Linked DNA regions of Drosophila melanogaster. Changing the gene in region 2 together with the main gene of any one other region gives a genetic interaction. Each region holds a gene or a part of one and is shown on either strand. Other genes may lie near its edges.

Region 1 (6,332 bases), on a different chromosome or scaffold from region 2:
ATGCGGCTGTACCTGTTTCAAATATCCTCTTCATAATCTCATTCTTATTGCAGAAATCACTCTTACAGCAATCAATCCTATACGTATCGAACCTTTCGTTACTGGTGAGGCATTCGAAGGGCTTACTCCGTTGCATATTGTACTTGACAACCATGCAACTGGGTCACCGTACAGCACAGTCCACAAATATGTGAACGAGCGGGGATAATGCGATAAGTTCGATATATTCATTCGAGTGGAGGAGCCGAAGGGAGCGAAGGAAATATCGGGAGATAGAGAAAATAAAATAACAATTATACGAAATTAGTATTGCTTGGCATTGGTTGTTGGTTGCTGCTGATGCTGCTACTGCTGCATCTGATTCTGATTTTGATTCTGATTCAGCTGTAGTTGTTGCCGCCTTCGGCTTGTTGCTAATTGAAGTGGCAGTCTGGTTAGTAGCAAGAAGAGTATTATAATTATATTGATTACAGTGTGTGTAACGCCGCTCTGGTTTTCAGCAGGTCATCATTAGTAGTGCTCTGCATTTGGGGTTATGATCATTTCAAAACTTCAACTCAACGAGCATAAGTGGGGGAAACAGTCCAAAGAACGATCAAAACTGGGCAACTGGTTGTTGAACGGCGTGCGAGTGAACAGAGAAATGGGAGCAGTCAGAGAGGAGGGGTTTTTGGGAGCGAAACACGTGCATAAGCGCACGCACCTTGGACGGAGATTTGCCGCCCTTCTTCGACACGATCACTCCTCTGGTCCTTCGTCTTTGGCCACAGAAATCGGTTGCAGAAGTCCCTGTCCTTGCAGCAGGCGTGGGCGCCATTGCGACCCACTGGGCGGGCGGTTGGTCCGCCGTGCAGCCCGTCGTTACACCAGATGGAGCGGCCCGGCGGAAAGATTTGAGACTTGTGCAGACATCTGCATCGCTCGATAGATCGATCGTATCAGACATATTCACACTGGCTGCTCTGAGGGGCAAGTGCTAACCTAATCAAAGGCCTGCTCCTCAGGCTCTCGGCACTCACCTGTAGCTGAAGATGATGCTCCCATCAGAGTTCTTCTCCACGGACGTGAAACAAAAGCCGTCCGTTTCACATATATTGTTCGATTCCTTGCACGTGTCACAGTGGCATTTTATCTTGTCTGCAGAACATAAAAGGTAAAATTAATATAAAGATCTATTTGCAAAAAACCAAACTTTAGAGTACTATCAAATCCATACATTCCTACCAAAAATTTGTTAACTTTAAACCGACTCACCAACAAAAACTTATTCTTCGCTTAACGATATATCTTCACTATTTGTAGGTGATCCTAACCAAGCACGTGTTTCTTGTAATATTTAATGAATATTAATTACTTGTGGAAAGGTAAGCAAAGGAAGAGGTCCGCGCCTCATTTGCCACGGTTAATGATTTTCTTATTATTTAAACAAATAAAACGCAAAAGCATAGGTTAGCAGTAGCAAACTTCTCGAATTAAGAAAATGCCCCGACTCCGATTGAAGCAAATCAATCAATTAGGCGCTGGCAGAAATTAACTAATTAGAGAAATAAGAGACCCATAAATCAACCACTCGCTGATTGGCATCTCCTGACCACAAATTGGGATTTGCCATAACCATGCCCCCGGGGCACCTGGCCGGGCACACGCTCGCCCAGACAGTCACATAGACATCCATAGCCACTACCATATCCACATCTACCGCCACCGACACCGCCGAGAGCGTGATGAAACAAAAACAAAACCATTTAGCATTAACAAAGCAGACGCGGAGAAGACAAGTGCAAAGTGGAGGGCCAGACAATGCGACCAGTTTCCCCTTCCCCCGGACAGCGAGAAGCCAGTGCCAGTGCTTAGGCCTGCTTTTTTTTGCACCGACTGCAGTTGCAAGTGCCCAAGTGCAGCAAGCAAATGCATCCAGACGTGGGGGTGTCTGCAGCCAGGCAGCGTTGGAGTGGGCCATGAGAGCTGTCTGGCTCAGCTCATTGACACCACGGAGAGGTGACGTCACTATATGGGAACGGAATCGGAGCCTCAGGCGCAGACGAAGACGGCCTTTTAGAAGCGTTCAGAGTCTTTGAGGTGTTACAGTCACGCGATATACACACGGAGAAAAGATCCCTATGGCATCGAAAAGATCGCCAAGTATTAAGTAACCCTTGGTAAGATATTTTAATTATTAAACAACAACAACAAAAATGTCAATATATCGGACAAGTAAGGTATAACCACTAAGCGGTTTCTATCTTCTCCCAATAATGGATTTCACCTTAAAAAAGGGAAGTAAAATGACCTTTACTCTGTGCTGACTTTCCTGGTTAACTGAAGTCAAGTAAAATGTTTGCAAGGCAATACCGGAACAAGTCTGTAAATCTATCACATTCTTGTTGTTTAGATAATTCGGGGTGCATTGTCCGCAGTGTGCTCTACACTCTCGTTAGGCAATCGGAACTTACTTTCTGGCTTTTTCGCGCTAGGCTGAGCAATGTAGATGGGCAGCTGGGGAGTAACAGCAGGGGCCACAGCTCCAGATGCGTCGCCGTCTTGCGGCAGCAGCATGGACACGGCGCTAGCGTTGTTGTTGTCGTGGCTTCTGTTATCAGCGGCCAGCGACGACGATGGCGACTGATAAGCATGTCCAGCTGTTCCAGCTGGAGCCCTGAGCGCCGGCGCTTTGGTCGTCGGTGGCCATTTGCCAGGGTGGGTTGCAGTCGCAGGATCAGATCGAGAGCCATTTAGGCTGGTGTCCATTACGAACTCAATGGGGGAGGCTGCACCGGGGGAGATTTTAGGTTAGTTTCGCACCTGATCCAGATTAATGGAACCGCTGGGGGGTACACTCACCGCAAACAGAGGCGCCGAGCAGAGCGCCCAGGAAGATTAGCCGGAGCGCAGATAACATGTTGGCTATTCGCACCGACGATAGTGTGTGCGACCCGACCCGAGCTATTGTTATTGTTTGTGCAGCCCGAGAGCTTTTCTTTTGTTTTCCACGATCGCACGCACGCACACGCGCGTCGCAAGTTCAAAGTCTGTGGCCTGCAAATGAGATTGTTGTTTCGCGGCAGGACGAGGCGGGGCCGCAGGAGCAGGAGGAGCGGCAGGAGGACACCTCAGACAGCCACTAATTGGCCCCGAACTGCGCATTTATCGCGTAGGACAGGCGCCCGCGAATTCCCACATTTGGCGGGGGCATGGCCGGGAATATAGACTGGCGATTCTCACAATTAGCGAATCTCGATGGGGGCCCGCAATGCGAAACTCGAACTCCACACTCCGCACAAGTTGGTTGGAAAAACTGCTCTGCTCTGCTTTACATTTCACGGACGAGGGCGACTTTTCAGGCGGATTTTCATCACGTGATTGGGGCAGTGGCGCGGGGGAAGTGGCACTATTTCATATTCCGCGGGACAGCCGGCACTTTCGGGTGTCTGGGGCAACCGTTTGTTTATATTAATTGCTGCTATTTTTTCTTAAATGTACAATTTTGTGCAGCGAAAAACCGCGCTGGTGTGTGTGGATTTGCAAACAGTGTGACCGCACCTGCAGTAGTGTGCCCAGGCTGGACTGCCCATGAAAAACACCCACCCGCTAGAGAAGTGCGTAAAAATGCCCAATCGGTTATGTTTTTATGGACAATGATTTTTGTTAAAATATTGGTTGTTTCCAGGATACATAAAAAAATTTCGATTTGTTTTGTAACAGATATTTATTTGCAATAGCTGCAGGTACTGCACCCGTTCCCAGAAACCCAACCAGAACCAAAATGCGGGGCATACGACAGCAAAATGATCATGTCCACTATTTTTACTGCCATAACAGACTGAAAAGGTTCAGAGGCGGCATGCCAGGCTCAGCTCCCTTCATAAATCCTGCGAAAATGAGAATTGGTCAAAATCAATGTCGGTCCATTTGATATTACCCCGCTGCTTCTTCTTCCCAGCCGCGTGTAGATTACAAAAAACATGAACCACAACTTACCCAAATACAGCACAAGAGGCACGAATCCCCAGTGGAATCCAGTCTGGACGACTCCAACCACAAATCCCAAACGATCCTTAACTCCCTCGGATAGCTTCATTTCGTACGGATATTGAATTTAGCTCCTTTTGCGAATTATGAAATGATAACTTGTCTGACTGCAAACGAAGTGTTGGAAAACAGCACTTTTTTCGATATAAAACAGCTGACAGAAACTTTTTGTTAGGTTACTCGTTCAATTTATATTTTCTTGGGATGGCTTTGTCGCAGGTTGCTGGGCCTGAAATAATTTACCAATTTAAAGAATCAGTAAAATTATTTCGAATACAGATTTCTGTTGGTGTGGCAACATTGACATTTGAGCGCAAAATTTAAATTCGCTTCTAAAACGGTCACACCGTTTTGCCCTTTGGGTTTTAATCTGATATTCTTTAATTTATATTTTCCACTATAAAGGTTTTTAACTACCATTTCACCGACAAGTTGTCTATTGGACACATATCATGAAAAGAAAAAAGTGTGCTTGGTCTGAAAAATACCTTTTCGTATTTTTAATGATCCCGCAATATTTTTGCATGTGTACTCCCATCAACTTTAAAGATGTTACATTTCCAAAGTTTCAAATTCTGAAAGCGTTGGAAATGCAACAAGAATTTGAAGTAAGGAAACTTCTTTTTAACGCTCAAAGTTTTCGTTGATTTCTTAACAATATGAAGCATAAAAATAAAAAATACCCCTGCTATCTCTCGCAGCAGGCAAGTGCTCCGTAGATCGATACTATCGCAGCCACTCGAAGTCCCATCTCTAATCTCGAGTCCCTTTCGCACTTGCCCGCTACTCACATGAGTTCTAGATCGTTTAGTTTTCTTGGTTTTCATTTGCTCGCCAAATTTTAGCAACGTTGCTGGTTTAATCGGCTGCACCTGCAATCGCGGTTAATCAGAGAGCGCCGAGCACTAAAGTTCCCATTGCCAAACGAAACGTAAGTGATAAAGAACGCCAGCAATGAGCGAACAAGAGCAAAGCGCACGCAGTCGGGGAAAAATCAATTGATGTTATGTAAGCTCGAATAACCGGATACCGTGTCTACTACTGTTGCAGGTCCCGATTTGCTCGATTTGGAACTGGAACGGACCATGAAAACAAGCAATCTCGGCCTGTACGCTTTCCGTTTAACCTTCGGTCAGGTGAGCACACGCACATTAAACCAGGCAGCCAAACGGCAGAAACAGCATGCGCATTCTGGGGGAAACCTCTGAGTTTTTCGGCCGGGCAAACCAAGGACCACCACAATCGTCGTTGAGAATGCAGCGACTGCAGCCGGGAGACGAGTGTCTGGAGTGCCAGAGTGAAGGCAGGAATCACAAGCTGCGCTACTTTTACATTAATCTCGAGGAGCAGCTGCTGAAGTGCGAGTCCAGGAGCTGTTTGTGGCCACACAACGATGAGGTCTCCTCTGATGAAGATCTGAACTCGGAGGCAGCACTTCCCATCACTGCTCCACAATCTGAACTTTTTGAATCTCCTGCTGCTACGCTACCTTCTCACCCTGCGGCCTTAACGTCCAAACCTCCTCCAAATGATGACGAATTTATATTGGAACTGCTGCAGCAATTGACTTCTGCCACAGAAACCCCCCTTAAGACAAATGTGAGTTCCAGTTCCATGCCAAATCTGCACTCGCCTTCAGAGGAAAAACCCTGCCCACAACTGGAGCTTCCCGACTTAAGCTTTCTGGAGGAGAACAGTACCGTATGCAAGGAACCCCCACAAGCATTGAAATCAGAGCTGGGAGTACCTTCAACTGTCGTCTTACCCGACAGATTAATAAGTCCGCCCAAGGCAAAAGCAGTACAAACTGAGGACACCAAAGCCAAGGAACATGTGGCTCATCTGAAGGGAGCTACGTCCCAAAGCTGGCAAGGCAAAGCTGAAATACCATTACTACCCGCTTGTGTGAAGGCAAGTGTGAGGATGTCTCCTAGCATCAAATCTAAGGGGTCTCCCTTCAGCAGTCCGCCCAAGAAAGCAACCACCCAGCCGCAAGGTCAGTCACCACCGTCAACGCCGCCTGCCGTCAATATTATTATCAGTGTTCCGGAGTTAAACACGGGAATGAACGGCTTGTTTCTAGACGCCATTAAACGCCATTCCACAGAAGCCAAACCCGCGCTACGTGGCGTAGGGAGACGCCCTAAGCGACTGGCCAAGGGAACCACCAGCAGGGGGGGCATTCGCACACAGGATGTAATGCACTTGATCGAGCATTTGGAAACCACCACAGAAGCGAAACTTACGACACCACGGACGTAATAGGCTGGCATTTAGCTTACTCAAGTATTTGAAATAAATTT
Region 2 (6,465 bases):
AGTTAAAGCCATAGTTTCATACCCAATTCCGACAAAAGTAAAAGAGATAAGAGCTTTCCTTGGATTAACAGGTTATTATCGCAAATTTATTCCAAATTACGCAGACATAGCAAAACCCATGACCAGCTGCTTAAAAAAAGGAGCAAAGATAGATACACAAAAACTTGAGTACATAGAGGCATTCGAAAAACTTAAGGCTTTGATAATTCGTGACCCAATTTTACAATTACCTGATTTTGAAAAGAAATTTGTTTTAACCACAGATGCAAGTAACTTGGCCCTCGGGGCTGTCCTTTCTCAAAACGGTCATCCTATATCTTTTATTAGTAGAACACTTAACGATCACGAATTAAATTACAGTGCTATCGAAAAAGAATTACTTGCCATAGTTTGGGCCACAAAAACTTTTCGACATTATTTACTAGGACGACAATTTCTCATTGCCAGTGACCATCAACCTCTTAGATGGCTTCATAACTTAAAGGAACCGAATGCTAAGTTAGAAAGATGGAGAGTTAGATTAAGCGAATACCAATTTAAAATAGATTATATTAAAGGGAAAGAAAATTCAGTTGCCGATGCATTATCAAGAATTAAAATTGAAGAAAATCATCATAGTGAAGCTACTCAACATAGTGCAGAAGAGGACAATAGCAACCTTATTCATTTAACAGAAAAACCAATAAATTATTTCAAAAAACAAATAATCTTTATTAAATCCGATAAAAATAAAGTAGAGCATTCAAAAATATTCGGTAACTCCATTACCACAATTCAATATGATGTAATGACACTTGAAAAGGCCAAACAAATTTTACTCGATCACTTTATCCATAGAAACATTACCATTTATATTGAGAGCGATGTAGATTTTGAAATTATTCAAAGAGCACACATAGAAATTGTTAATACCACCTACACAAAAGTAATTCGCAGTCTTTTCCTATTAAAGAACGTTGGTTCATACGCCGAATTCAAAGAAATCATACTTCAATCACATGAAAAACTTTTACACCCTGGTATACAGAAAATGACAAAATTATTTAAAGAAAATCACTTCTTTCCAAATAGCCAACTATTAATTCAGAATATAATAAACGAATGCAACATATGCAATTTGGCCAAAACAGAACATAGAAACACCAAAATGCCTTTAAAAATCACACCCAACCCGGAACATTGCCGAGAAAAATTTGTAGTAGATATTTATTCATCTGAGGGAAAACATTACATCAGTTGCATTGATATTTATTCTAAATTCGCTACACTTGAGCAAATTAAAACTAAGGATTGGATAGAATGCAGAAACGCATTAATGCGCATTTTTAATCAACTAGGTAAACCCAAATTATTAAAGGCAGACAGAGACGGAGCTTTCTCCAGTTTAGCTTTAAAGCGATGGCTTGAAGAAGAAGAAGTCGAATTACAGCTCAATACAGCAAAAAACGGGGTAGCAGACGTCGAAAGATTACACAAAACAATAAATGAAAAAATTCGTATAATCAATTCATCTGATGATGAAGAAGTAAAATTAAGCAAGATAGAAACAATCCTCTACACATACAACCATAAAATTAAACATGACACTACTGGACAGACACCTGCTCAAATTTTCTTATACGCTGGGCATCCCATATTAGACACTCAAAAAATTAAAGAGAAGAAAATAGACAAAATAAATGAAGACAGACAGGAATTTAATATTGACACTAATTACAGAAAAGGTCCACTACAGAAAGGCAAATTAGAAAACCCATTTAAACCAACCAAAAATGTAGAACAGACAGACCCTGACCATTACAAAATCACTAATAGAAATAGAGTTACGCACTACTACAAAACACAATTCAAAAAACAAAAGAAAAATAATAAACTCTCAATTTCACAGGCACCTGGTACCCGATAACACTATTGTTTATACTGATCACAGCTGTTCATGGACAACAAATTCAAATTAATAATATTGACACCAACCACGGATACCTCCTTTTTTCTGATAAGCCAGTACAGATACCATCCTCCTTTGAACATCACTCCTTAAAAATCAATTTAACTGAAATAGACATCGTGGTTGACTATTTTGAGCAAAGACTACGAACCGATTACCATGCACCCCAGATCAATTTTTTATACAATAAAATAAAAAGAGAACTAGCCGGAATAACCCTGAAACATAGAAACAAACGGGGTCTTATTAACATTGTGGGTTCAGGTTTTAAATACCTATTTGGAACACTAGATGAAAATGATCGAGTCGAAATACAGAAAAAACTTGAAATCAACGTCCATAACTCAGTAAAATTACATGAACTCAACGACGCCATACGATTGATAAATGACGGAATACATAGAAGATTTGGAAATGGCTATGCAGCTTTCCAGACTTGGACTGTTTAACCCCAAATTACTAAACTACGACAAACTTGAAAATGTGAACAGCCAAAACATTTTGAACATTAAAACATCCACTTGGATTAACTACAATGATAACCAAGTATTAATCATATCCCACATACCCATTTACCTTTCACTAATAAGCACAATTAAAATAATTCCTTACCCAGACTCCAACGGCTATCAGCTAGATTACACAGACACACAATCATATTTTGAAAAAGAAAATAAAGTTTATAATACCGAAAATAAAGAAGTAAAAAATGAATGTGTCACCAATATTATTAAACACTTAAATCCAATTTGTAATTTTAAGCCAGTACACACGAACGAAATAATAAAATACATAGAACCAAACACAATTGTAACCTGGAACTTAACCCAAACAATTCTTAACCAAAATTGCCAAAATTCAATTAATAAAATAAAAATAGAAGGAAACAAAATGATAAGAGTAACGCAATGCAAAATAGAAATCAATAATATAATTTTAAGTGAAAATCTGTTAGAACCAGAAATAGATTTGACATCACTATACACACCACTTAATATAACAAAAATAAAAATTGTAAAACACAACGACATTGTTGAGATGATTTCAGAGAACAATATTACACTTTACATACAAATGATCATTGTAATAATCGCACTAATTTTGTTGTACTCATATTTAAGATATGTATCATTTAAACCATTTATGATGCTGTATGCAAAACTTAAAATAAGAAAAAATCAAAATCAAAACACACCACAACAAACAGAAATAGAAGAAACTCCATTTCCCACACTATATCCATCAATCCCAGCCCAAGTATAGGCTTCTCTTTAAGGGAAGGGGAGTGACGTATTTGGGTGGTCCAAACCAGCCACTTCCATTATTTCAAAGAAATCAGTAATGCACTCTAGTAATTTTCCATAACGTATCCCAGCTGCGCAGCATTCGTTTATCTTTGGCAGCGCAGCCGTTCTTGTAAACATCCTAAAGCCTGACCTAAGCAGATTTGACTGCCCTCTTTCAACGCTACCTAATCTTAAGAACCCAAGAGCGAGGCTCTCCCGAAATACAAATATTGTTCAAATACTGAGGCTTCTCCTCAATCCAATTTGCATTTGATTTTTAGTCTTAAGCTGAGATCCAAAGAATAAAGTCGTGAAACTATTTCTCCTAAAACTATTTTTTATTTCTTGGCGTTGTCCTTAGTCAACTGACGGGACATTAGTTCGACTCATAAATAAAACAACAATTTTACTATATATTTTCAATTTTTTTTTTCGCAAGCGTCGCACGTGCGAGCTTTTCCCCCGATATTTATATTCGCCACTCACACACACGCGCACCGAGAGCGACACGTCCGAACGGTTCCAGAGCCGTTAAATTTTCGAACTAAAACTGAGTGTCGGGGGTGTAGTGTGGCCAGTTCTTCTAGCGCTCGTTTCGGTAAAGTTTGTGCTCTCGCTTATTGGCCGCATTTCTTGTGTACCGCCGCATGGTCACTCTAGTGCCGCTCTTTGAACCGCTCTCTTACGTTTTCTCTTCTATTACTGCTGCTCATTTAACAGAAATGTTAAAATGCAACGCTTTTCTAACAGAGACCGCGGTCTAAACTTATTTAAATAACATTTTATCTTTTAATAAGCAAATAAATGTAAATCGTACTTAATGAAATATATGATTTTACAAGATGTGTGGTAATAATTTCCATAAAAACGTTTGTTTGTTCTTTCTTCTTTATAATGTAGTAACTAGTTTAACTAGTCCGCGAGTTCATCGGATAACGTGACCACTTAAAAGATTAGATTTTGGGATATGCGGATAGATTGTCACTACCAATTTACAATACTTAATCAATGTTTAATTAAATCAGCAAATGCTATCGATAAGCCAAACTGAAAAATTGCCATTTAGTTCGTTTCTAACCGTGGCGGTCCCAAGTTCATGATCAAGTGCCCTTAGACCTATAGAAAAAATGGACTCAAAAATTACCTTTCTACTTACAACGCTACTATTTGGTAATTCGTATTTTTGCACTTTTCAAAATCATTACATATCATCATTTTTTAATGTTTTTAACTCATGTACATACGACCCCTGGGTCGCTTGGAAACATTAGGATCCAGACAGTTTAGTTTTGACATAACTTAAAAAAACTAACAGGTATCTGATAGTCGATGCTCCTGTACTCAATTAAAACATTTAAATCTGACGAGTGTGTTGGGTAACATTACTTGATAATACATTTACACAATCGCAAAAAGGGGGTAAAACGTAAAATAGCAACATTTTGTTATTTTTTGTCAATAAGTTGTCATGTAAACTCTTAGAGCTAGGGTATATGAGCGTCGGTCTCTTGAAGTTAAGCACATTTCTCGCCATTCTCACTTCACGTCTGCTCTCTACGCTTGCGCCATTGCACAGCTGACAGATTGAAGAGAATTATTGATGTGCAGTTGCATTGCAGCATTCGGTGAAAGCGGAAGAAGGGCACAACGCGCTTTGCATTCCATAAAAATCGCATAACAAAGGGAGTTAATTAGAGTCCATTCGCGCACACATACATATGTACACGCTCATTGCGAAGTAAACAAATTCACATTGGATTGGATTGCATGTGTTTGCGTATCAATTCTCGCTGGTAGGGTGGTAAGGAAGGCAAATGGGCTTATCTACGCGTATCTGCCATATTATGCCCTCTGTGCGTCCCATTGTCCAATTGTGGAATATTAATGCCGTCTATTTCACGTCCACTCGCAGTGCTCGTGGCCAAAATCAATGGGTCTGCTCTGAACGCCAGCAATTATCAGTACCAAGTGGTGGTCGAGCAGACAGCGCCAGACGATTCCCAGATCGAATATATATTCCTCAAACAGTCGGATATGATGAAGGTATGGGGCACAAATCTCACTGCCATTACCTGGGCCCATGCCGTCAACAGCCAGCAATTGCTGGACGAGGTCCTAACCGAAACCAGTAAGATCATTGGCCAAATATGCGCGTGTAACCAACTTATCAATAGTATCATTTCCCTGCCCAAGGTGGCATTGACTTCATCGAAGCGGACATTGTGCTGGGCAAACTGAATGGCGATGGCGAGGACATGCCCATAATGGCCCATCCGCCGGCCAATGTCTCTGATCTTACGCTGTCGGAATTTCTCAACCAGATCATTAATTTCAACCGTGATCATGAGGACCAAAAAAAGGGCGTTAAGCTCGACTTCAAGTCGATCGAGGTATTCGAGGGTTCCCTGGACATTCTGGACGTGAATATTCCGAACGTAAGTTTGGTCATCGAATCTCAGATATCAGAACAAATTAAACAATATCTCTGTGTTGTGCAGCCTACCACGTATCCTGTGTGGATAAACGCCGATATTCTAAGTGGTCCCGTGGAACAGAATAGAACCGTACCCGTTGATGCGGACCGATTCTTCGCCGGCTGTATGCGCTACAAACAGGCAGTGCTCTCCATTGGCTGGACAACTAACTGGGGAGCCGACTTCCGGGATGGCGAGTACACGCAGCAGCAGTGTGATGACATGCTGGAAACGCTGAGCGAGAACAATGTCCTATCCACTGGCCAGGCCATAACCTTTCCCGTGCGCGCTGGCATTGCCGCCAACAGCGAGGAGCAACTGCATCGACTGGTGGCCGCGGTGAACGAGACAAACGAGAGCACCCTGACCATCTGGTCGTCTGCCGGTGACTATGTGGATGTGGATAAGTTGCGCAAACTGATCTTCAGCTTCGGCTTGGATAGAGTCTATCTGGATGTGCCGGAGGAGCTGGCCTCACAATTGAACCTGGACAATCCCGGCAACGGAGCCAGCACCTTCAAATCCCTGTTTGGCTTCAGTTTCATGAGCCTTTGTTTTTGGGCTCTGTCCAGCTGGATGCAGCGGTTATAATATACGTAATTAATATAAGTACGGTAATCAGAGCAATTTTTATACAACTTCCAGAAAACATAATTAAAACTTATACTTTTATGTGTTGACAGTTTTATTTTCGTTTAGGTGGAATTGTTGGAAATCGCCTTGGATGACGAGTCATCTTATATAAAAAAGATGAATT
Region 3 (8,279 bases), on a different chromosome or scaffold from region 2:
CGGCATTTTTAAACTTATTTATTTAGTAACACTTAAGAAAAAATTAATCAGAAAATTGCTCTGCTTTTCATATTGTTGCTCCTTTGGCAATGCCAGACTGTTATAGCTAAGAAGATGTGGCACCGCTGCCACAACATCGTAAGGGGGATTCCTGAACAGATCTTAATTTTTAATTCGATTGATTATTTGATATTACTTTATTTGATTACTCGCTTTTCTCCATTCGATTTAAGAGTTCATTTCAAAAATATTACCTTATTTGCAGTGCTTACGCAAAGAGAATTCCTTACAGTGTAGATTCAGGTGGCCACTATATAGCTTGAGCAGCTGATTGATGTAAACAAGCTTACAATAACAAATATTTCCAGATTGTAGAATATTCCTAAGTTTTTCCAAATTTAAGGATGCATCTAAACGAGAACACCAAAATACTGGGTCACAGGGTCATCCTTGTGCCCTACGAAGCGCGCCACGTGCCCAAGTACCACGAGTGGATGAGCAACGAGACCCTGAGGGAGTTGACCGCATCCGAGGAACTGACCTTAGAAGAGGAGCACGAGATGCAAAGGAGTTGGAGGGAGGACAGCGACAAGCTGACCTTCATTGTCCTGGATGCAGAGACTTATTCGCGTGATCAGGATGAGATTGCCGCCATGGTGGGCGACACCAATCTCTTCCTGCACCAAGATCCCGATAGCCAGATACCAACGGCGGAGGCGGAAATCATGATTGCCGAACCTTATGCACGGGGCAAGGGATTCGGCAGGGAAGCCATGCTCCTCATGCTCAAGTACGCCCAATCGCAGCCCCAGCTTAAATTGGATAAATTCGAGGTCAAGATCGACATGGACAACGCTGCATCGCTGCATTTGTTTAAGAGTTTTATGTTCGTGGAGACGCGTCGAGTGGAGATCTTCCACGAGGTCACCCTGGAGCGACCTATCACTCCAGATTGGATCAACTGGCTGGACCAGCAGGTGGATCTGCGTATGCAGTGCTATCAGTGAAAAGAAGCCTTTAGAATCGTAATTTCACGGTCTGTTTATTACACTTATGTTACATCTACTTGTTTCGCTTGCCTTATTTATGCTGCATTTTACATCAAATGAATGTATTTATGGGTGCATCGATGTCTCTTTTTGTTTCGCCCTGTGGCTTGGATGATTGTAATGCTGTGTATGCTTCTCGTTTTTTTTTTTTTTAATTTGTAATTTTCGTGGCAGGAAATGGACAACAAACATTGGCCGCTTGTTCAGTATCTCCGGTGTTGTGTGGGCGTATATTTAAGTATAGTACATAAAACTAGATGCTTAGTGCTTTACAGCTGCATACTTAAGACTTCTAAGTTGTTTCAATTTTTTATAAAAATTATTATCAAATAATCAAAGGCAAACATAATCGTAATCAGAATTGCAAATGAAAAACACAAAATCCGCAAATAGCTGACGGATAGCTGCCGCTAAAACTGAGTCCTTAGCATAGATGTGGGCCAATAATAAATACGGATTAGGCGGCGGCACGCGGGCCATCGATCGGCATGGCGTGCAGCACTTCGTCCAGCAGCTGCAGGGCGCGATGCAGGTGCACCTCGATCCAGCAGGGCGTTTCTTTGATGGACTGGCGTGGGTAGTCAGGTCCCCAGCCCTTGACGAAGCTCAGGCGCAGGATGCATAACCGGCGCAGATCGTCCACGCCAATTCCAGCCGCTGCTGTCATGCCTGGAATACCGCATCAACACATTAGTTTTCCCTAAATCAAACTGATTCCATCTACTTACTCCTTCCGCCGCCGCCCATTTGCTGATTGGCCACTCCGGCCACGGCTGCCGCCTGAGCAGCGGCCGCTGCCTGCGCATTGGTCGCCAGCGAGTGCATCTGCTGGTGGCACTGGCGCAGGTCAAACACCTGCATGAGAAAATGTATGTTAAGCTATCACATTAAACTCTCTTGATTGCACCAACCTTTATGCACGCGGCCGGATAAATCTTGTGCACAGCATCGCCAGGTGTGCGTCCTGCCTCGCGATCCAGATAATAGCTTTGTACGAAAACTGAATTGTCACTAAGACAGCGCAGCCAGACGTCGCCCTCCCCACGCAGATCCAATTGCACGCCCTTGCCGATGTGGAGCCTGCATGGAACTTGGTAATTAATCCCTGCTCTGCAAGTTACTCCCAGGGGGATGTACTCACCTGGCCCGTTCCGATTGTTCAGTGCGATGAACATTGCTCAAGGCGCCCAGACAGAATCGATTGCCTCCAGAGGGATCCACATAGCCGTCGATGATTACGTTCGGTTTCGCTGACGGCACCTTGAAGGTCTCGCCCACTTGCGTGTCCAACTCGAAGTATGCGATGGAGCACCAGTATTCCGGCGGCGGTTGGCGAGACAGGAGGCGTGGTTGCTGCTGTTGTTGTTGCTGCTGCGGAGGCGTCTGTTGCGGGGAGCCGAGGTCACCCGAAAGCGACGAATTCCCTGGAAAATGAAGGACAGGGATTACAAAGTCGCACAGTGGGCTACATAGCCTAGACTTACAGAAGCCCCCGGGTAGAGAGCGCGGATCTGGTGGTTGCATAGACTGCGTGTAGGTGAGGGTGTTGGGCCCTGTCCAGGTGCCAGCCGCACCGCCTCCGGCGCCAGCCTGAGCCCCAGCAGACCCAGTATTGGCCTGCACACCGGTCGGTGGCTGCTGCGGCTGCTGTGGTGTGGGTTGGGCTGTGCCAAAGACGCCACCACCTCCAACGGGAGCACTGCCCGCGGATCCTGGCTGCGACACGTAGCCGTTTTGCTGGGCGTGGACGGACGGGGCCACCGAGGTGCCACCCCCACCGGCACCTTGCATCTGACTAACAGGAGGTGGCTGTCCATAGTACTGCCCTCCAGCTGCTGCTCCACCGCCGGCATTAACTGATCCATTGGGCACACCGCCTGATTGCTGCTGTTGCTGCTGCTGCTGTTGTTGTTGCTGCTGCTGCTGCTGCTGCTGTTGTTGCATGGCCAGTGCGGAGGCGGGATCTGTGGGCGAATTGGCCTGGGTATGGTGCACCCCATTGCCCTGGGGATTCTGAGCCTGCTGCGGCGGGGGTGGGGGTGCCATCACGGGACCGGGATTCATTGGACCAGGCATGCCCGGCATACCGTGAGGCACAGCTGAAAGTTGATTTTGGGAAAAGATTAATGTGTATTCAACTAATTGTTAATAAGACAAATATTATAATAGTTTAAAATCCAACATATGAGAAAAATTGTAATTAAAATTCGATTTTCGAAGCTTCAACTATAATCAAGGCCATATCCTTACGGAGTGAGTGAGCAGCTGCCTGCGATTGTGCCTGCTGCTGCTGTGTAGGTTGCGGGGTTTGCTGCTGCGGCTGCTGCTGTTGTTGCTGCGGGGGCTGACCCAGCCGGGGGGGAGGCGGTACCATCCAAGAGCCACGCGACCCAGCAACTCCATCCTGGGGCTCGATTTTTGGTATTGTGCGCCCGGTGGGAAACATTGCACTCATGGGATTGGCATCGCCAACTACGCAAAGTCAACATAAAATCGCCAAAAGGAAACAAATATAAATAAATTATTAAAACCAAAGAAATAAACGAATGTAAACAATTAAGTAAAATGAACAATTCAGTTTAAAATTATAAATAATATAGAAAAATTATCAAGAAATCCAGTATCGAAAACTCAAACTATATCGAATTAATGTCAATACTGTAGTCTTACCATATTCAGAGGGACCCTGTGGATATCCGTAGCCGCCGGGCCCCACCATTTGCGTGGGATGGTGCTGTATGGTGCCGATGTCGTTGCCATCGATGTCCATGCTGCCCACCAGCGGACCCGCTGAGTATTCGTCCTTCACCAGGCGACTGGGGCCCGACTGCAGACTCAGGCCGGACAGATCGATGCCCGGAGAGACGACGCGCTCGTAGTGGTAGGGATTCACGCACACCGAGTCGCACTTGAGATCGAAGGCGAAGGCGCAGTACTTGACGTGCTTCAGCTCGTTCTTGTGCAGGTCAGGCCAGCGCCAAATCCGGGCGTATATGACGTGCGGAAAACCCTTGCGTCCAGCAACCTTCGATAGAGAATGGTAAAGTGGTAAGTTCATTGCTTATACACATTATCAAATTCGATGCAGAAAGTCTGAGAGACTCAACCTACCTGCAAGCGACCATCGAGGGTGCGCTGTATGGTCACGCACTTGCTGGGATGGGCTCCGTTCGTGGTGATGGCCGTGATCAAGGAGTCCAGTTCGTCGCGCTTCTCCTTGAGCTTTTTGACCAGCGACTCGATGGCTCGCTTGGCAAATCCCTCGCTTTCGCCGCCCTGCCGATGGCACATCAGCGAGTGGACGATGCTCAGACAGGCGTCCGCCGATGTGGGGGCGTTCGAGGGCGGCGGCGGCATTTGCACCATGTCCCGGACAATTACTGCAGATGGTGGGGGTAATTAGCTCTGAGTTTTTTTAGTAGATCAACGGATACTGTACAGCTCAATCCAATTTCATTTTAAATTTCAAAGAGTTTCAAGTTTATCAACAGTAAATAATAATGCTACGGTAAGATTTAGGATTGTCCACAATACTTGGCCACAAATCGATTTTAGAATAACAACTCGAAAAGGAGTTCACTATGACTGCTGCTCCTCTAGAGAACTTCACTTACTGTCCTGCGGGGCTACGGCGCCGTACATGTGGGCGGGCGGACACGCCCCCGAGCCGCCGCCCATGCCAAAGTCCTGGGCGAGCGAGCCCAGAGTGCGAGCATGGGCATCCACGGCGGCGTTGTTGCTGGATCCGGATCCGGAATGGGGATCGTGAGCGGCGGAGAGCGGAGTGGGGATCGTACGGTGGCTGGAGCAGGCGTAATCGAAGCCGGCGGCGGGCAAAAACAAGGCGTAGAATCACTGGCCAAAGAAAAGCCAAACAAAGGCGGCACGCGAATGTGAGCACAAAACAAACGGCGGCTGGATGGCTTTGTGTGAGTGGGCTTGGGGGGTGTTGCACACACGCATACACACACACACGCGCGCGCTGAACTAACTCGACTTGAACTCCCACAAAGTTGGCGTAATTTCCCTGCGAAAACTCTCCTCTCCTTCGTCTTCTCCACCTCCTTCTTTACGCACACTGGCACACGCACTGCACACACACACGCCCAGCGAGAAGTTTCCTGCTCAAATCCTTGGTAGAGACTGGCTTTTACTGTTTTTCGTGGAATTTCATAGTTTGCACTTAATTGGCTGCTTGGGAAACTCGAAAGTACAATTTTCCGCCCGACGAAATCCAGTTTTCCAGCCAATTTGCCTTTTTTTCCTTTTTTATTTTGTTGCGGCTGTGCAGAGTGACCGTTTCGCGATACAACATGGGCGGGCGTTGCCAGATGGGCAAAGCGCGAAATACCTACCTTGGATTTTTACAAACACCTAGTTTGGTCAGTTCTCGAAGATTTGATTTGAGAATAAGTTTATATTTTTTGGAAATAAGAAGCAAGAAAAGCAGATACTGATCAAAACGCAGAGGCATCCGGGTAAGTGCCATGAGATTTGTTACACCGACTTACACTCATTTCGCGGGCTGTTCAGTGCGTAAAACGAACTTTTTGAAAGGCCGAAAATCAATCGCCACGCGTTTTTTCCCATTCGCATGTGTGTGTGTGTGTGACGAAATTGAGGAAAGTTTCTTATCGTTGAGATTGGGGAAAATCGAAGGCTGAACATCTTGTGCAACAAGTTAATTGATGTTTTCGCATTCCCATTGAAAAGTTTCTTTCCATTGCTTTAATTGCTAAAATTCATTCATAAAAAATTGCCGTTGATGAGTCGTTTGTGTGACAGGTTGTTTCTAGAAATATGCATGTGTGTGTAGTGGGGCCTGAAATAGACCACCCCCTTCCCCTCTTCTCTTGAAAATGTTCACTTGGCAACAGTAACGAATTTCCTTTTCGCCGGAAATGCATTTCTCCGGCTTTTGTAAAACAGTTTGCTGCGTAGTTTCCATCTTCAAAATATCTTATCAAAATGCGTAATTTCAACGCTTATCTGAACGGAATTTCGATTTGCGGCGTACATATGTAAATATGTTTATATTTTGGCAATGACATTGATTGTGAAATTATGTGTGGGAAGTTTGCGATTCCCTGCCAAAACAGAAGCTTCCATTTGTAATAGTAATTTGGGAACTCAATTTAACTTCGAGGATTTGTTGCCCTCATATTTTTTAATTCCCTAACTAATTAAATCACTTGTCATAAAATTGTCTACATCCCGCATTCAGAAGCATAAAGTTATTATTTAATCCCTATCAGGCTTACGGTGTTGAAAATTGTTCGACACCAAAAAGAATTATTGCGGGCTTATTTGAGTTCGGTGTTCAAAATTGTTCGACATCAAAAAAGAATTATTGCGGGCTTATTAGGGTTCGATAACATTACAGCGAAATGTTAGTTAACAGAGAGAATCGAATAACATACACATCGATAGTGAGGGACTATCGCTTCCGCTGGCTTAGGGTATTTTATAGTACAAATTTCAGTTCGCACCAAATCTGTGGAACTTGTAGGCCTACTGGTAACACTGGTCGCTCACAATATTCTTCATTCGTAAAAAAACAACAAAGCGGAGAAGTACCGTTTTTGCGAGCGCGAGTGTTTGAATGTGTTTGTTTGCTTAGGAATAGAAAATAGAAATTGAAAAGGACCAAGTGCAAACGTACAAAGCTTTGCTAAAGCAGAACTAAAAAAAATCAGCAGGAGGAAAATGCACAGCTGATGGAGAAAAGTCCCAAGCACCTTCAGCCCAGTGTGTGTGGGAAAAATCGATCCGCAGACGGGAAAAATTGAGGATAAAATGCCAGCCTAATAAACAGAGTTCCAATTGTGATACAAACGCAGTACAAATTAGTTAACAACTAGCTTAAATGGCCAACGACAAGGTTTTATAGCTAACTATCTGACGCAATTGAATAAGCGTAAAGCTGCCAGCCAATTTATTCACTTATTTTCGAGTGCAATAGAAGCAAAAATTCACAACTAAACAAAGTTCATCTCAACATTCCTGCGCAACACAAAACAACAAAATGGCTGTAAAAACGTAAGAAAATGCTAAATTTATTTAAGAGTGGAAAAGTCGATAAAATGCAAAAAGAGAATCAAGGTTTTTTTCTTCATCTATCAGATGATTTTGTTTGTAGGAAAAAAGAAATTATATTAGGCATACATACAAAATTCGTTCATTTACGTGTTTGTTTCGCTTCCATTTGTTTCACAGCTGTTTGTCTGGTGTTTGTGTGTGTAAGCGAGAGAGTGGATTTGGGGTCCGCTATTCGTAGGTCGTTGCTTACAGAGTGAGCGAGAGGGTCGAACGAGGGGTGGGCGAGGAACTATGCTGCTTGCAGTGGTATGTGTGTTTGAGGGGCTGTGCTTTTTATGCAAGCTGTACAACATACATATGTAATGAGACTAATGTACGCCTTTGTTTCCTTGGCACCGCCTTATTCGCCTAGAAAACCCATTCCTATTGCCTTCCCCCATTTGCATATCTGTTTTATTTCCAATTTGCGTCAATTGTTTTACTTCATATTCCCCTTTTCCTTTGTTGTTCTCCCCACAATTTGTGTGTTCCGCTTCCAAAGTTCCCTTGCCATCGTACACACACGCGAGCTGCAAACAAAGACTTTGTATGTGTGTATGTTGTTCCCATTCGGATTTTTACCTCATACACACACTCACACCAGCACAGCAACTTGATTGGTTTGGGAGTGTGCGTGCTCTGGCTTGGAATTGCGTCAGCCAAAAATAAAATATGTGCGACGGATAAAACTACTTGTTTTCGTTTCAAAAACACTTTTGCTCATTTTAGGAAGCAACTTGTTTCTGGAAAACACAAGTAACAACTGCTATTACATTCCGTTTTGTACCCCGTTTCTCCTGATTTCACCTTCAGCGCATTTACTTTGTTTTCTGGGTCATATTTGTTGATTTCAATTTGTTGCGCAGTCGCAAAGTCGCGCAGAATTGCTTAATTTGTTGATTTTCATATTTTCCATAGCCTCCAAAATAATATAAATACAACGCATAAAACGACCCCACGCACGCATACTAATGAAACAGTTGGGTTGGTGTGGGTGTGTGGGTGTTGCTGTACCGTTGTTTTATTTATTCCTCTCCACACTTGTTTACATGTAAAAAGGTCTCTTCTATTCTCTGCCTACCTTCTTTGTGGAATGAATAGAGATGGGAACGGGTGTGAAAAGGGGAGAATTCATCATTAACCCTTAGGTGG

Evidence for each region. Genes that interact genetically often act in the same process or in processes that back each other up.
Region 1: of Snoo (region 2) and babo, changing one suppresses a phenotype caused by changing the other (phenotypic suppression), as found in Drosophila melanogaster (2 studies listed by BioGRID).
Region 3: of Snoo (region 2) and Med, changing one suppresses a phenotype caused by changing the other (phenotypic suppression), as found in Drosophila melanogaster (2 studies listed by BioGRID).

The regions. Positions count from the first base shown.
Region 1 is NT_033778.4:8,949,539-8,955,870, reverse strand, and holds the start of babo (baboon), read right to left. Parts: upstream 3,533-6,332; 5' UTR 2,900-3,532; coding exon 2,842-2,899; intron 2,769-2,841; coding exon 2,454-2,768; intron 1,138-2,453; coding exon 1,020-1,137; intron 913-1,019; coding exon 704-912; intron 159-703; coding exon of another isoform or gene 13-158; intron 1-12. Other genes in the region: Tom7 (translocase of outer membrane 7), read right to left, coding at 3,805-3,869, 3,979-4,078; CG8229 (uncharacterized protein), read left to right, coding at 5,284-6,291; CG33199 (uncharacterized protein), read left to right, coding at 5,115-5,165.
Region 2 is NT_033779.5:7,980,407-7,986,871, forward strand, and holds the start of Snoo (Sno oncogene), read right to left. Parts: upstream 3,791-6,465; 5' UTR 3,725-3,790; exon of another isoform or gene 3,540-3,724; intron 1-3,539. Other genes in the region: CG7231 (uncharacterized protein), read left to right, coding at 4,362-4,404, 5,147-5,362, 5,428-5,678, 5,733-6,299.
Region 3 is NT_033777.3:31,608,129-31,616,407, reverse strand, and holds Med (medea), read right to left. Parts: upstream 5,363-8,279; 5' UTR 4,728-5,362; coding exon 4,664-4,727; intron 4,430-4,663; coding exon 4,161-4,429; intron 4,098-4,160; exon of another isoform or gene 4,075-4,097; coding exon 3,720-4,074; intron 3,522-3,719; coding exon 3,300-3,521; intron 3,149-3,299; coding exon 2,534-3,148; intron 2,474-2,533; coding exon 2,191-2,473; intron 2,130-2,190; coding exon 1,961-2,129; intron 1,905-1,960; coding exon 1,778-1,904; intron 1,719-1,777; coding exon 1,507-1,718; 3' UTR 1,033-1,506; downstream 1-1,032. Other genes in the region: CG1792 (uncharacterized protein), read right to left, coding at 1-6; Mnat9 (microtubule-associated Nat9), read left to right, coding at 405-1,007.